Linked DNA regions of Mus musculus. The protein of the gene in region 1 interacts with the protein of each later gene in a pairwise test. Links are inferred from orthologs where the notes say so. Each region holds a gene or a part of one and is shown in the gene's direction. Other genes may lie near its edges.

Region 1 (4,353 bases):
TTGATCCCAGAGACACCACAAAGGTGGAAGTTAGGAATCTATTCCCCAAAGTTGTCCTCTGAGCACTCACCTGGTCATGAGTGCGTGCTCAGCTCACACACACACACACACACAAATCTGGAACCAGAATTCTATCTTGGTAATTACTGAGGTTGCTTTGATTCCAGCAAGTCACTCTTGGTTCACCTTGGTTCTTTCAAGTCCTCTGAGGCTAAAACTTCAAGGCCTACAAACCACTTTCCAGACTTTTCTTTTTCGAGACAGGATCTAGCCTGGAACTGGCCATGTAGACCAGGCTGGCCGTAAGCTCATGATTTGGATCTGCCTGCTTCAAAAAGCATGCACCCCCACCCCCACCCCCCCACCTGGTTCCAGACTTTTCGTATAGCTCTTTCTTCTAGTCTTAATTTCTTCTTCTTATGGCCTTTTATTATTACTTGAATACCCACTCCCTTTCTAGTGTCTTTCAAAATACTATTTCTCTCTCCACTCAGTTCTTGGCTCTTGCATTTGTGCTACAGAGGTCACACGGGCTGAATGAGGTTCAACACTTCTCCGACTTTTGGTACAGCACCCTCACATTCAAACCACGTCCTCCGCCCCTCTCCGGGCCACCCAAAGATCTCAAACCAAAGCAGAGCACTGATAAGCCGGGGGCGTTTCACAACAGAGATAAACTGGAAATTCTTTGGCGCTCCGGCATCCTGAGAATGGCTCTGCATCATCTCATAACTTACTTCTTGTTCTCTTAACGCAAGGACAAGGCATAAAGAGAACACTCTACCCCACTTCAAGACCGACAACGACCCTGTCAATCCTTTATTCAAGCCCCATTCACACCACTCCGGAACACGGAATAGCTCTTACAGCAGTTCCTTGGGCAAAATATCTCTTGCCAGTTCGGAGTTTACAGAATGAACGGAAACGTCCTTCGGCCGACTAGGAAATGAAAGAGTTAAAGATCGACAACCTGATGGATTCTGGGGTTTTCCTCCCTCCACGCCACAAATTAAAACGACGAGGAAGGAAGAGTTTGCCCAATGTAAAGATGAAAACGGTTACCTTCAACTGCCAGACTTCTGCCCCAAACAATCATGGCTACCTAATCCCACACGAATGCCGCCTACCTAACTAAAAAGGTCTAGCCGAAGGTTTCACCACTGGTGCCGTCTCCTGCCCAATTCCAAAATGGCGCTGACTGGCCTCACTAAGAGTTTCGAGCTTCCCATGATCCTCACTGGCCTAAAGGTCAGGTGACGCAAGCCTCAGCCGGAAGTTAAGGAATAGGCGCTTCCAGCCCGCGGCGCTTGCGCAGAAGGCTCTAGACGCTGAGAGGTAGGAGGCACTTGGGATCGTCCGCAGGGTTTGGGACAGCTACAGAGGCCGCCACGGAGCCCGCCGGAGCCCCCGTTCCTGCTGGTGCTGCCGCCGCCCGAATCGGAACCGTCGGGCTGCAGCCGCCGGCAATGCCGCGAAGGAAGGTGAGAAATGGCAGAGAAGGGATGGCGGGTTTCTAAGGGGAGTCGATTGAGTAACGTGACGCGGTTGGCCACGCCTCGTCGTGCTTGGGTTCCAACTTTCTGGTCCCCCGAACCTAGCCTAGCTACTCTGTCTCCTCTCGGTACCAGACAGAAAAATGTGGGCCCGACCCTGGCCTCGGCCTATGCCTGTAACTATTCCCGCCCTCTGCTTGCCCGGATCGGAGGCGTTCTTGTTAATTGGTCGCGGAAATGTCTAGAAGCGTATTGATTGGATGGTGACGCCGCCTGTTTGGGCCCAACGGTCACCTCCCCGCGTGCGTGGGCGGTGTCTCGGTCTGGCCCCGGTGCTCTCCGACTGGCTGTGGCGAATGCTCTCCCTTCTCTTTATTGGCCCAGCTTTGCAGTCTGTTCTTGTGGCGGGTGCGGCTTAGCAAGGCCTGGATTGGGGCGACCAACGCCCCGCCCTTCCGGATAGAGATGGCGATAGGTGTTGTAAAGGCGAGTTGGGAAGACCACTTTCCTTTCCTGGTGGGGGGATTACAACAAAGCCGAGGATGGGTGGTTAGAAAGCCAGCGCCCACCCCCAAGGGATAGCTCGCAGGCCTGTTGCGTCTCAGTCACCGTCTTCCACCTATTTGTTCAGTTTGACATTTCCTGGTCAGTAAATGTTTGTTGAACTGTATGACATTTGCCCCATATGTTCAGTCGTAAAATGCAAAGAGCAGTGTTACGTGCTAGTTGCTAGGAATTCGAAAAGTATGCGTGATCACTGGCTTAAAGGGTTATCGCTGTTGAGAGAAGAACACAAAGAACCATAGTTCATACAGTCTCTGCTTGAAATTGTATACACTGTAAGAAAGCCGTTAACGTGGGAAATAAGTAAAGAGCTGATTTTCAGGGTTAAGCCAGGCAGAATTGATAGGTCATGGACGGGTGTCAGGGTCTTTGGCTGAGATGACCCTAAAGTTTGCCTTTTAGTGACATTCTGTGCCTCTATTTACTTGTGGTCAGATTTTTGAATGAAATATTTGGATGGATAGACGGTTGGTATTCATATTTCTGCAGAGATCACTCTTCATGGAAGCTTTCCAAGTTAAATATTTACATTAATGTCTCTTGCAATGACCAGAGTTGACAGGTAGTATTTTTTTAAAAGATTAATTTATGTATTTTATGTATGTGAGTACACTGTAGCTGTACAGATGGTTGTGAGCCTTCATGTGGTTGTTGGGAATTGAATTTTTAGGACCTCTGCTCACTCAGGCCCAAAGATTTATTTATTATTATACATGAGTACATTGTAGCTGAGTTTAGACGCACCAGAAGAGGGCACAGGTGTTTGTGAGCCACCATGTGGTTGCTGGGATTTGAACTCAGAACCCTCGGTAGAGCAGTCAGTGCTCTTAACCTGCTGAGCCATCTCATCAGCTCGACAGGTAGTATTTATATCCAGGCATACCAAATACAAGAGACAGACCTACTGGTTTGTTGGAATGATCTAGTCTCCTTTTAGCAGTTTCCAAATGTAAAAGTGGAGAATGTAAATTCTTCCTGGATGTTATGGTACAAGCCTTTAATTCCAGCACTTGGGAGGTGGATCTCTATAGTTTGAGGTACACATGGCTGATATGCTGGGGTGTCCTGACTCAAAAAGAAGAAGAAAATGTAAGTTCTTGCTGGGTATAGTGATACACACCTGTAGTTCTGGCATCCTGGAGGCTGAGGCAGGAGGCTCATCTTGAGCTTAAGGCAAACCTGGGTTATATAATAAATTCCAGGCCAGCCTGAGCTAAATAGCAAGAACCTATCTCAAAACCAACAAAACCCAAATGTAAATATGTTGGTAACTTGGTTGATGGCCAATCTGTCCTAATCTATCCTTAGGTTATTTAGTTTTTTTATATGCCTCATGTAGTGTGATACTAAATTTCTGTTTGCTAGAAAATATTAATGTTTTTAGTGTGGGTTGTTAATCACAGGATATATGTGTCCTCTGTAAGAATCTAGTAACTCCAAACATACTTGGCCCCAGGGAGCTTATTCTTTGAATAAAGCGTTGGGGCCTGGGACTAAGCTATAGCTCAGTGGGGTGTGGTTACTGCCGGGAAGCCCTGAGTTCAGTCCTTCGTCTGTCCCACTCCCTTTTCCTGCCAAAGATAGTAGGACTGAGTTTGAGGAGTTGTAGTGATTTCAGCAAGTACTCTTTGTCCAGCTTAGAAAAGAGCACGTGTCAGTGCTTACTAGGTAAAGTAATCTTCATGGCTCATCACCCTTCCAGAGGCCGAGAGTTATGGCTAGGGTGTGGCATGCGTTTTTCTGAGAACCTGACACGTGGGGCTGCAGGGATTGTTCAGCTGGTCAGAGTACTCATTGCTCTTGTAGAGGACTGGGTTCCAAGCACCTTGTTTCAAGCCTCACAACCGCTTATGACTCCAGTCCCAGGTGACTGGACAACCTCCCTTGACCTCCGAGGGCGTGTATGAGATCAATATACAGGCAAAACTTTCACACATACAGTAAAATAAATCTAATTTTTAAAAAGCCCGGTTTGAATACCTATTTAGTTTTTAGTATAAATTCCTTTCCAGCAGCACTTATAACATCCATGTGGAGAAACTTTGAGGACTGATGGTTAAGAAAATAATTTGTATCTTTTTTTTGGTTAATTTCTTTCAGTGGGTAAGAGCACCCGACTGCTCTTCCGAAGGTCCAGAGTTCAAATCCCAGCAACCACATGGTGGCTTACAACCATCCGTAACAAGATCTGACTCCCTCTTCTGGTGTGTCTGAAGACAGCTACAGTGTACTTACATATAATAATAAATAAATCTTAAAAAAAAAAAAAAGAGCTCCTAGAACTGGAGCTCCAGGT
Region 2 (3,813 bases), on another chromosome or scaffold:
TAGACCCAGTAGAATCATCTTTGACATGAATATCCCTTTATTTTTATATGAACCCAGGAGGCAAATTCTACAAAGAAAGCTAAAGATTTAACTTAGAAATTTGGATGGTAGTTGCCTTATTCCCAGATGTTGCTGGCATCTGTAGGGCTCTAAGACCCTGTCTAGGCACCTTCCAGGGAGCGTACAACCCGAGTCACCAGGAAGCATCAGATAAACTCCAAATGACTAACTAGTAAAGGGGCTGGGGTTCTACTTGTCAGAAATGCCAGCAGTAAGAAGCCATGGCAACACCCTAGATTCAAGGATGATTCAGCATCATAGGAGGCACCAGGTTATTATTTGCTGGGGAAAAGGCTGAAAACTGTCACTGGGCAGAGGTCAAAACTGGGATTTGTGAGCCACCAGGGCTGCTGTCCTGAAGCAGAACCTAGAGTGGTGACAACGATGTGAGGAGTGTTCCTGTCCTCAGGAAACACCATGGGACTAGGCAAGGACATGTGTGCATCTGTGTGCATGTGAATATGTGTGCAGTCATACACGGTGCTTGTTGGCAAGAGTGGCATACCAGTCGGTGAAGATGCCATCATGGGTGCCTGGTTGAAAGGGTGAGCTTATTCTTTAGACTGCTCTGAGTTCAGTGTTATTTACAGAGACTTTAAATACTATCCTAGGAGAGGAATATTTCATTCCTGTTAATGAAATCAGAGCTTTCCTGGGAGACAATGTGAGTGTATATCAATACTGAAAGTGACTTTAAGTTTTGCCAAAGAACATACTGTTGGAGCAAGACATTCTCATACTAGCCTGCCAGCAGCTATGTGCTAACCTCAGTCTGAGATTATACAGAAGGGAGGAGTGACATGAATTACTGAGAACTCGAGAACAATGTGGAAACATGCTAACGGCATGGACCACAGCTGAAGCAGATCCTAGGTTCCATCATGTGTTTAATTGGCATGATGTTTTGTGGATCCCTAGAGAGGTGTTTGTGACCAGCAGTCCTACAAGTATATCATAGGTTACACTGACTCCAAACTGATGCTGTGGAAACAGAAGTGTTTTGTATGATGGTAATCTGTTTTGTTTTGTTTTGTTTTGTTTTGTTTTGTTTTGTTTTGTTAAAAACAGCCCTCCTATTAAAACAAACAATAGTTCCTAATAATCTGAGTGGTTAGGTTTTCCATGGTGAAAAAATGATGTAGGGCCAACTTGTGAGCTGCCATTCTGTACTGTGCTTGTACCTACACCTTTCACCCTTTCATCCATTCTCTCTGTAGGACAGTGGTTGTTAGGGCAAGCAAGATGCACAACTTGAAGACACTCCCTCCTCCTTCTGAAAGCTGCATTTGTGTATTTAGTAACTGGTAGGGACCCTTTTAAAAGATTCTCATACCTTAAGTTCATTCAAACTTTTTTTCCGGACTACTCTGGTTTGCATTGTATATGCACGTGGGTGGTACATTCACCTATGCAGGTATGTATGAAGAGTATCTTTCTCAACCACTTTTACATCTTAATTTTTGAGACAAGGTCTCTCACTGAACCTGGTGCTTGTTGTTTTGGCTAGAGTGGCCAGTAAGCCTGTAGGATGGTCCCACCTTCATCCCCAGTGCTGGGCTACAGATGCACACTGTTGCCGAGCTTCAAGCTAGTGCTGAGGATCCAAACTTAGGTGCTTAGATTTACACTGCAAAGACCTCACCCCAAATGAGCCATTTCCTCAGCCATATTTAGATTATTTTTAAATTGCTTAATATATTTTTAAAATAACCTTGGAGGGAATGATAAAGTCTAGAAGGCATCAGAAGGGTAGTCTGGTGGCTGTAGCACATAACAGCCTCTGGAGGGCTGGGTTGTCTCATCTTACAGGACAGACTGGAGTTTCTAGTTCTTAGCTCTGCTGGCCACTGACTGAGCTGGATCTTCCCCTGCGCTCTGTGTACAGCCTCTGCTCACTTGTCAGGCTTCTTTGATAACTCAAAATGTCTCCAGGAGTTGCAGGATGCACACAGCAAGTAAAGTCTCACCTGGTTGGAGAATTCTGGAATGATGTGAATGAAGCTGACATTTAGAAGCATTTTCTTAAACGAGTGTTTGACCTCCATATTCATATCCTTATTTCTCCGGTAAATATATAAAGACAGCATAGAGGCTGGCTGGCTGTTCAAGCCTTGGTAATCTTCCTCTGGCAACACCTCACAATCCGTAATTATTTCCCTTTAGCTTCAGTTGTACCAATGGCCTGGGTGCATCAGGCATAGCCGAGAAGACTGAGAGGGAGAACTTGAACTACTTTGATCAGTGTTTCTTTCTCCTGGAGGCTTGGGAGTTAGAGACTACACGTGTTTCTGTTCATAGTGATCTGTGACGTGTGAATTTCTGCTCATGCTCAAAAAAAAAGTTCTTCAGACAAAAATGATGTTTAGGAACGAAGCAGCTACAGGGAAAGATTCCCAGAAACCTTCTAGGTCCTGGATACATCCTGCTCTTTAGACTCAACTTCTTGTATATATTTATGGTACATTTCTCCTTTGGAGCTGAAGCTAAGGAAAGGTTTTCCTACTTTAGTTAAATCATTAATAAATTCATAACATGTACATAAAAATGTGTTTGAACTCTTTTTGCTATAGACTCAAAAGTACAAGGATGAAATGTCACAGCTCAACTGCAGGGTCCTTCAGCTGGAAGGAGAGCCTTCTGGTCTCCATACACAGAAGGAAGAGAACCACGGTGCTATCCAGGTGTTAATGAAGAAGCTGGAGGAGGCAGGGTGCCGGGAGGAGCAGCAGGTCAGGGGCTAGGCTGTCCCACAAACCTTGGTGGGTGGGTGGGTGGAAGGAGGGCCCACTGGGTAGTGGAGGCTGAGCAGTTAGGTGAGTACCCCCAAAAGTGAAATAAAGGGCAATTCTTCGAGAAATGGACCCGCCTGGACAGCTCTGGCAAAGCCACCGGGATGTAGAAAGGGGAGCTAATTGTGTCCCTGCAGTTCTCAGGAGAGTAAGTGGTAGGGTTCTCCAGCTTTCTAAAGTAAAATAAAGAGCAAGAGCCGAAGAACGTCCCTGTACATTGGCTTTATAATTTTGCTTGTGAAGGCTGCTTCTAAATGCATTATGGATTTATCTGGAAGTATTTTTATTGATGTCCTGTTTATAATAGGAAAACAGGACCAGAATCAATTTGAACATCAGCAGTAGGTGAACGAGTAGATGATGGTGCAGCCATTAGATACCGAGTTCTCAAATAACAGTGTTTGGGAATGATCCAGGTTCCTTAAGGAAGGCAGCACTGCAGGACACTATATGCTCTCTGATATGCGTTCACATTAGATGTGCACCTTATAGAAGAGGGGAAAGAAATTAAGTGTGGTCCTTCGGCTCGCAGGGTCATGGGAGATCATTTATCTTGTTTTTTCGTGTCTGTAACTTTCTGGTTTGTTTCTGTGTCAGGCTCTGCTTATAATTGTGAAAGTGTTTTTGTTTTGTTTTTATAAACAGGGTGATCAAATCCAAAACCTGAAAATTGAACTTGAACGTGTGAATGAGGAATGCCAGTACTTAAGACTGTCACAGGCAGAGCTGACAGAAAGCCTTGAAGAAAGTCGAAGCCAGGTGGGTTGGTTAAGATGGCTTGGGGCACTTGGTCCAATTCTGGGACATGAGAAATATCAACAGTGGGCTGACAGTTTCCATGACTCATCCAGACCCAAAATGTTACTATGCCAACCAAATGCTTCACAGCTGACCAGGAACTCATCAGGCTCAGACATATCCCTACTCCATTCATTGTTAACATGGACAGATCAGCTTTGCCACA

What was found.
Region 2: the proteins of Kat7 (region 1) and Ninl interact in a two-hybrid assay, tested with the Homo sapiens proteins (2 studies listed by BioGRID and IntAct). The two-hybrid records come from large-scale screens. The link is inferred for Mus musculus from reciprocal best matches to the Homo sapiens genes KAT7 and NINL.

Annotation. Positions count from the first base shown.
Region 1 is NC_000077.6:95,307,163-95,311,515, reverse strand, and holds the start of Kat7 (histone acetyltransferase KAT7), read left to right. Parts: upstream 1-1,269; 5' UTR 1,270-1,466; coding exon 1,467-1,481; intron 1,482-1,817; exon of another isoform or gene 1,818-1,958; coding exon of another isoform or gene 1,959-1,979; exon of another isoform or gene 1,980-2,138; intron 2,139-4,353. UniProt on the Homo sapiens protein: Catalytic subunit of histone acetyltransferase HBO1 complexes, which specifically mediate acetylation of histone H3 at 'Lys-14' (H3K14ac), thereby regulating various processes, such as gene transcription, protein ubiquitination, immune regulation, stem cell pluripotent and self-renewal maintenance and embryonic development.
Region 2 is NC_000068.7:150,939,648-150,943,460, reverse strand, and holds part of Ninl (ninein-like protein), read left to right. Parts: intron 1-2,630; coding exon 2,631-2,789; intron 2,790-3,494; coding exon 3,495-3,608; intron 3,609-3,813. UniProt on the Homo sapiens protein: Involved in the microtubule organization in interphase cells. Overexpression induces the fragmentation of the Golgi, and causes lysosomes to disperse toward the cell periphery; it also interferes with mitotic spindle assembly.